2 linked regions of the Ovis aries genome follow. The main gene of each other region encodes a partner of the protein of the gene in region 2 in a complex. Links are inferred from orthologs where the notes say so. Each region holds a gene or a part of one and is shown on either strand. Other genes may lie near its edges.

What was found.
Region 1: the proteins of ACTR3 (region 2) and ARPC4 are in contact, whole or in part, in a cryo-EM structure (PDB 6YW6), measured with the Homo sapiens proteins. The link is inferred for Ovis aries from reciprocal best matches to the Homo sapiens genes ACTR3 and ARPC4. Residues at the interface, in NP_005712.1 of Homo sapiens: Lys53, Gly54, Val55, Leu58, Glu121, Glu124, Tyr125, Glu128, Glu132, Tyr400, Glu401, Pro405, Arg409; in NP_005709.1 of Homo sapiens: Lys89, Arg92, Phe93, Met96, Arg97, Glu99, Asn100, Arg156, Ile159.

The regions. Positions count from the first base shown.
Region 1 is NC_056072.1:16,888,876-16,892,685, reverse strand, and holds part of ARPC4 (actin-related protein 2/3 complex subunit 4), read left to right. Parts: intron 1-1,061; coding exon 1,062-1,173; intron 1,174-2,470; coding exon 2,471-2,566; intron 2,567-3,532; coding exon 3,533-3,742; 3' UTR 3,743-3,810. UniProt on the Homo sapiens protein: Actin-binding component of the Arp2/3 complex, a multiprotein complex that mediates actin polymerization upon stimulation by nucleation-promoting factor (NPF).
Region 2 is NC_056055.1:178,988,638-178,993,032, reverse strand, and holds the start of ACTR3 (actin-related protein 3), read right to left. Parts: upstream 2,861-4,395; 5' UTR 2,647-2,860; coding exon 2,603-2,646; exon of another isoform or gene 1,891-2,602; intron 1-1,890. UniProt on the Homo sapiens protein: ATP-binding component of the Arp2/3 complex, a multiprotein complex that mediates actin polymerization upon stimulation by nucleation-promoting factor (NPF).

The sequences.
Region 1 (3,810 bases), on a different chromosome or scaffold from region 2:
GCTGCCAGGTAAATGATGGTTCCCAATTTGAAGTTCAGAAAATTGGGTCTCAGTGGGTTGACAGGACAAAACTCAGGGGAGAAGCTACTCTGGAGCCAAGATTTGCTTGACACAAGTTGTGACTTTTCAACATAGGGCCATTTGGGAAATATCTCCCAAGGAGGTAGTGAACCCTCTAGCAATTTAAGGAGAAGACTTGAGAACTGAATTATCTGAGATGCCATCTCTGCTCTTCTCAAATTTGAAGATCAAGGATCCCTCCCCTCAAAAAACAAATAAACAACTGGACTCCCATCCCCTACTACAAATATTCTATACTTTGGATTATTTTATCTGATTTTTGTTTTGTAAAAAAGTTTTTCTTTTTCCCCTTTGATGTTTAATCTGGTACATATACAACTGAGATAAGGATTGTTACCACAGTAAATTGATACGATTTGAATGTAAGAAAGCTGACATCATGTTAAAATGTGCCCTGTTATGCTACTTAATGTATATGGTTTCCACTAGGCATTTTAAAGGATAATAGCTCACAGACACCAACAATACAATTAACTACCGTCTGAGGGATCCAGAGGCATCAAAATGGGAACTGAGTTGAGAGGGGTCATAATTTTGATTATTAAAGGAGGCCAAACTGTTTGATTTTAGCTTGGCCTTATCTCTAAGGCAGGCTCTCATTCCCTAAACAGTATATGGGTTTCCCTATAGTTATGAAAATAGGAGTTGTCATTTGTAAAGCTCCTACAATGTGCCAGCTCACTGTTACACACTTGACCCTTGTTGATCTGTTTCCAAATGAGGAAGTTGAAATTCCAACAGGGTAACTTGCCCAATGGAAGTAACAAAGGAGGCTGAATTTCAGAACCTTTCACCCTGACTCCAGAGCCTGTGCTCTTTCTGCTGGAGAACATGCTCTCTGGCCCCCATCTTGGAGCACCCCTGCTTGTGAGTCTCATTCCTTGGACTCTGTGGTCCCAGATTGTGATTCTAGAACCTGCCGTGGAGCCTCCCTGACCATTCTGTTCTTTTATAGTACCTCTGTCATTTTGTGTTCTCAGGAGTAGCAAAGAGCTCCTGCTACAACCCGTGACCATCAGCAGGAATGAAAAGGAAAAGGTTCTGATTGAAGGTTCCATCAACTCTGTCAGGGTCAGCATTGCTGTGAAACAGGTGAGCTCACCCCAGATCCCCTGCCTCCCCGGGGAGGCCAGGGATCCCCTATGTAAGAGGTCAACATGCCAGATTCAGGGTGCAAAGAAACCCAGGTTCTCTTTCCAGGAAATGATTTGCTAAACCTACCAGATCAGTAGAATAAAGGGAAATCAGCCTTCTCTCCTAGGCTTGCTCTGGATTAGACAGCAGGTAATGTAGCAGCCAGGGCTGTGGGCCAGTTTGGTGTCAGGTCATAAAACTCTTCCTAATGAGTGAAGAATAAGTTCAGTTCAGACAAACAAGTAGTAATGGTATCAGTTTGATAGCCATAAACTCCAAAAGTGAGATTTAGGGTAAGAAAATGAAGTGTAGTTTCATGTTTCTTCATTGTTTCACAAATGTCTGACATTCCCACTACCCCCATCGTTTCTTCCATGTTTATGGACCACTTGGCTACTTCTTTACTTAATATTTTCTTTCAATTAACTTTTTTTTTTTTTACTTAAATTTACCATAAAAAGAAAAACAATATGCCTTGCCAAATTGAGGACAACACTAAAATGCAAGCACATTGAAAATAAAGCAGAGTTAAGACTTTTGCCTCCAGAAAGCTCTATCCCTAGTGCCTGCTCTTTGTTAAAAGGGGAGATGAATAAATATTGGGGGCTGTTAAGGTCTTGCCAGCCCGTAATACAAAATTCTTTCATCAGAAATGTTGAGAGTTCATTAGGGGAAAACTTTGGGAATTGTTTGATGTTCATTGTTACTAAAGTGGAGACCATCTAAGGTTATCTGATATACTTCATAGTGTGTATCACTGACTGGAAGATGTAGCATTAGTGAAATGAGACTGGAAAGGGCAGATTTGAATCTAGATATGGATTCTGGAAGGATTGGATAAAAGATTGGGGCTTGCCAGGACTTCCCTAGTGGTTCAGTGGTTAAGATTCTGGGCTTCTACTACAGGGGACTTGGGTTTGATCCCTGGTCTGGGAACTAAGATCCTGCATGCCACACGATGTAGCCAAAATGTGTTTTGAAGTTAAAAAAAAATAAGATTTGGGTTTGTCAGAGTTACCTTTCTGGAATGGGTAAAGGCAAGATCATGATAATGCCCCATTAAGTTGGAGGGCTCTCATGTAGTGGACCTTCCTTTTAGCTGGCAACCAGTTATTTGTGATTCAGACTTCAATACCCAACCCCAGTGTCTCCAGCGAGCATAGGGGAATTTGGGCTCCGAAGACCAGGCTACAAATTTCTGTTGGCCTTTAGGGAATGACTTTAGGGAAACACATTTCTTCTTTGTTCTTACCAGGCTGATGAAATCGAGAAGATTCTGTGTCACAAGTTCATGCGCTTCATGATGATGCGAGCAGAGAACTTCTTTATCCTCCGAAGGAAACCAGTGGAGGTGTGTGATCCATGTGTTGGTAATACCCAGAATTCCACTACTGAGTCCACTGTCAGTGGCCTGGGATTGTTTCTAAAACTGGGATTGCTTGCTCCCCACGCTGTAGGGCACCCACAGCCTGAGTTGAGAGTTGGTCTTCATTTCGGCTAGAGTAAGAATAAGGGGAATCAGCTTATAGGAGGTTGAGTCTGTCTCAGCTGTGGAAAAGGCCAAAAAAGATGAGGTGCATTGCTGACCTTCCCAGAGCCTATAGTGTAGTGGCAGAAAGGGCATGATGAATCAGAATTCTAAACTTTGCCACCAATTGAGTCAGTCTCTCAAGGCCACAGTTGATATGGGGTCACTTGTTGCCTGACTTTGTACTTGAGCTCTCACTACAGATTCTCTGCCTGCTCAACTCCCTGCCGGTCAGTGACTAAGCAACTACCATGCAGAGCAGCGGACACCATTGTCAGACACATTAGTTGTTGGCCAAACTCACCCTCATCCTGAGCTAAAATCTCTCCTGTTCCTAGATCTAACCTCCAGGGCCACTAAGAATAAATAAAATTGCTCTTCTACACACAGTCTGAAAAAGTGAAAAACCATAGTTAAAAACCTCAATACCTCCTTCTCCCACAGCATCTTCATTTCTCTCTGGACTAAATGTTCCTGTTGTTTGATGAGATTCTTCTATAACAAGATTTAAAGTCCTTTCACTCTCCCTTGATTCATTCTGAACACAACTGTTTATACCACAGAGAGTCTGCCAGACAAAATTCTCAATTGGGATCAGTTGATCCACCTGTTAGTTCCTTGGAACCAGCATACACACCGCCACCAGAGCAGATGGGCTGCTGCCTGAAGGGTGTGTCACTTGGGAGAAGGTCAGCTGGAAGCATGTGGCTGAGTGACATAGAGGGCTGGCCAGTGAAGTTCCCCAGGATGTTGATTCTCTCTCTCCTCTCCACTGTCTTTCTTCCCTAGGGGTATGACATCAGCTTTCTGATCACCAACTTCCACACAGAGCAGATGTATAAGCACAAGTTGGTGGACTTTGTGATCCACTTCATGGAGGAAATTGACAAAGAAATTAGTGAGATGAAGCTGTCTGTCAATGCCCGTGCACGCATTGTGGCTGAGGAGTTCCTAAAAAATGTAAGTGGAGTGGCCTTCTTGGTTTCCTTTCAGAAGTAGAAAGACCTAAATAAAGGTTGTGCTGAGAACTTAGCATCTGTTGGGGAAATGGTGCCAACTGTGCGTAA
Region 2 (4,395 bases):
ATCTTCTATATGCTATTAAAGTTGAAGGTGTAACTTTCCAGGATTTGTACTAATAGGCAACAACAAAGACCAAAATGCCTTCTGAAAACCACAATAAGTATATATCTGGAACTTCCCTGGTGGTTAACACTCTGAGTTTCCAAAGCAGGGAGCAAGAGTTCGATCCCTGCTCAGGGAACTAACATCTCACATTCCGCATGGGCAATCAAATTAAAAATAAACAAATAAATAAACGGATCTCTAAAGGTGGAATTTCAGACAGTGACAGATGGTAAAAGAAAGTAAGAAGAATTCTTAGATCAGTTTCATTTAAATCATGACTGTCCAGCTAACACAACCTCTCCCTATGAGATAAAACTAATGTAGTAATATAATTAATAACTGATCATTAAAGCAAAAATATCCTAAGTACAAGGGGCTTCCCAGGTGGCTCACTGGTAAAGAATCTGTCTACCAATGCAGGAGACACAGGTTCGATTCCTGGGTGGGGAAAATCCCCTGGAGTAGAAAACGGCAACTCACTCCAGTATTCTTGTCTGGAAAATTCCATGGGCAGAGGATCCTGGCAGGCTACAGTCCACCCGGCCGCAAGGAGTCGGACACAGCTCAACAACCAAGACTGGGCAGCATCCTAAGTACAGACTGAACCCCCTCCCCCACACCTCATGGTAACTCAGTCTGTGTTTTAAATTCAAAGCTGCCCTATCAGAAAGACACTTAAGGATAGTTAACCTCAAAGAAATACCCAGCATACTAATTCAAACGTAATCAAGATTTCAAAAGGGAAAAAATTAAATGAGAAAAAGTTAACACCTTACCTAAGATATTACCATTAGGGCAACAATTATCTACACTAATTTTATCGACAAGGCAATAATTACTAAAGCATAGAATATTAACTATGTAGCAATATTTTTCACTGTAACAAAACATACTTGAAAATTCTTTCTCAGTCAAGCTGCCAAATCTAATTTTAAAACTGACCCTAAACATAAAACTACTCCCCAACTGGACTAAGAAGGAAGGCGGGAAAAAAAAATACTGATTCAAGCAAATAAAACTGGATTAAGAAAAATAATCACCTATCCATCAAAAATCTACATAGAAGTTTCATGGCTAAACAACACTGGTTTATTATTATATTAATAAATCGGTTATTTCCTTCTGCACGGCTGGGATTTTACAAACTGCCACACTTTCATAAAGGTATGATCATGAGGATTATAGAGAAATTTCACACAGAACAAACTGAGTGAGGAGTATACCATCCTTTAAGTAACAATAGTTCGCTAAAGAGTAAAAAGGGAAGGGAAAGGCTGACAATCTACTTCTCATAACTCCGTCCAAAATTGGGGGAATTGGAGAAGTAATCATGTATCAGCACAGCATTCACAAGCACAAGAAAACACTTCCAATAGTGAAACATAAAGCAGTCACTCTGCATTAAAACACAGGCAATATTTTCTACGATAGTATAAAGTGTGCTATAAACGCCTATTAATACAAAAGGAACGACCACTTCCACACCGTTATATACTTTAGTAAACTACACTGCAGATCCATAATAACTCCTTGAAAAGCAAGTACCTCCCTTTACAACTCTATTACCTTCCTTCTCTCCTTAAGACACGGTCACAGAATGAACCTATACAACTTAATTTTCCTGGGTGCTTCACTTCCTTCCTCTCAGTGCAACGCAAATATACTTTTTAAGTTCACAGAAATTCATACCTAGCACCAGTACCTCAGCCTATTTGAAAACTGCTTGATTTTGAAAGTTCTAATAAGATGTGTTCAGGTTGGAAACGAAAAACTACCTTATAAGGGTATAAAAGACTGAAAGCAGGAAGCGGCTTTGACAAAACTAAGGAAGTTGCAGCGCGCTTGCTCACTGGGGGACTTTTTTGAGGCAAGAGAAGTAACACATGACATCTTTCTCTCAAATTAAAATGTGAGTTGGTTGGCCGGTAGGAACGTAGTGGGAGATGGAAAAGACCGGGAGTCGAAAAGGAAGAGGAGGTGGGTGGTCCAATGAAAGCCCCGATCTAGGTTCCCATTTTCAGGGTCCGATTCTTCCCTTTCCCCTCCCACACCCCGGGTAGAATGTTGTCACAGCAATCTTGCAAAACCTACAAGGAGCGCTTCTCTTTTCTCGCTCCTTTGCCCGGCCAGTCCCCGCGCTCCATTCCCCCCGGTCTCCAAACCTACGGGCAGGAAAGGGCACCGGGCAAAGGAGGGTCGGCTGTGCGGGGCTCGAAGACCACCCCCACGCGACCGCGGGCCCCGGGGAGGCGCCCGTCCCCGCAGCCCCTCGGGCGGCGCTGCCCACCGCGGTGGGGGAAGGGCCGGGAGGGGTGGCGCGGAGGAAGCCGCTCCCCGGGGTTTCTGGGCCCCGCGCCGCCGCCCGGCTCCCAGAGGGTGCAGCGCGGGGGATGAGGGAGGCCCTGACTGCGGGCCCCACCCCTCGCCACCCGGCGCGGCCCGGGCTGACACAGCCGGCGGCAGCACCTTGCCGCTCCATTCATCTCCCGGCCTCCTCCCGGCCCCGCCATTTTCCTGCCTCCGCCTCAGTTTCCCCACCCCCGCCCATCAGCCCCCTTACCCCGTGCCACAGTCCACCACACAGGCCGGCAGCCGTCCCGCCATCTTCCTCCTCGCCTGCTGCTGCTGCTGCCGCCGTCTGCTCCGTGCCGTTTGGGGCCAGGGATGGGCGGCGGGAGGTGGAAGCTATCTGACCATCCACGGCCGGGCCACCCTCTCCGTCTGGGGGGGAGCCGGGAAGCCGAAGCAGTAGCGAGAGAGAAGCAGGCTCGGTCAGCGGCTACCACTTCCGCAACCCGGGCAGGCAGGCAGTCCCCGCCCTGCCCCGCCGCGGCCTCCTCCCCCTCTCTCTCCCCTCCTCCTCACTCCTGCCCCCACCCTACAACTTCTTCCCCTCACACCGCCTTTCCCCGGGAAGCCAAGATGGCCGCCAGTGCCGACGCCCCGGCCAGGACAGGCCTAGGCCTCGAGCGCTCCCCCTTCCGGCTCCGAGCGGGCGGGGCGAGAGAGCATGCGCACTGAGGAGCGCCGCCGGCTGCCGCTCCCATTCCGAAGGTGAGGTAGTCCACTTCGGGTGTTCTCCAGGTAGGGTTGGGTAGGTCTGCCCGAGTCTCCAGTTCTCCTTCTGAAGCTGGAAGGGGTTTTTCGTTGCAAGTACTTCTGCGCTAGGTTGAGGAAGCAATGGAATCGCATTCCACAGCCACAACTATCTTCCGGTGCTCCGACGAAAACGGCCTAATTGAAAACCTTGTCAGCGGCACCCATCCGATTTTATATCTTGAGCGGCTCCTTTTCTGGTTGGAAAAGAGCTATATCAGACGGAGGGTGAGCCGTTGGAGGAGAGAGGAACAAAGGCTTGCACCGTGGCTCCTCTGCCTTGGTACTGTTTTGTTTTGTTTTGTTTTCTTCAGTTACACTTACGCATTGTTACAACGTGGCACATTACAAGTGTTACTGCAAGGGTTAGATTGTAGGCCACCCGGAGGGCAGGCCTGTGCCCACGAGGAAGGCACACCTCACAGGAATGTAAGCCTTTGGTGGCTTTGAATGAGGAGAAAAAAGTACTCTCCGGGGTAGTTTTAGGTTGTACTATTCTACTTGCAGGATGAAACGACGGATTAAGGACCAAACTTTTTAATTAAAAAAAAAAAACTAGAAAGCCTAGAACAGTGACATTTAAACTTCTCAAAGTGTGCATCAGAATTCCGTGGAAGGCTTGTTAAAGCACAGAATGCTGGACTACATCCCTTGAGTTCTCTGATTAGGTGGTCTGGAGTGGGGCCTAGTAATTTGCATTTCTACCCAGTTCCTAGGTGTTGGTCTGGGACCTCCCCCCACCTAGGAAACCTATAATATTAATAGCTTTTTTCTCTTCTGGTTTATCTTCTGATAAACCATATGGATTCACTTATAGGTGACTGAAATAACATTTTTCCTAAGAAAGGATGTCTGATTGCTTCAGAAGATAACATAGAGTGGTGTTAGACCAGCCTGGGCAATGGAATTTAAGCTTTTCATTCATTTGGCAAATAAGAATTGCTCACCCATTCTATTAGGGCAGGGACTATGCTGACCATTAATATTCAGTAGGCACAAAATGAACAAGTTCTCTCCACTGCCGGGTTTACAGTTTAGTGGCAAAACATACAAACTGTATTAAGAGCAATAGAAATTATAATACAGAGGGCGCTGAGAAATGGGGAGGAGGGGTGAGTGAATAGGAGGGAAACAAAAGTTAGGAGAGACTTCTCTGACAAAAGTGAAAGTCTCTCAGTTATGCCTGACTCTTTGTGACCCCATGGACTATACAGTTCATGGAATTTTCTAGACCAGGATACTGGAGGGAATAGCCTT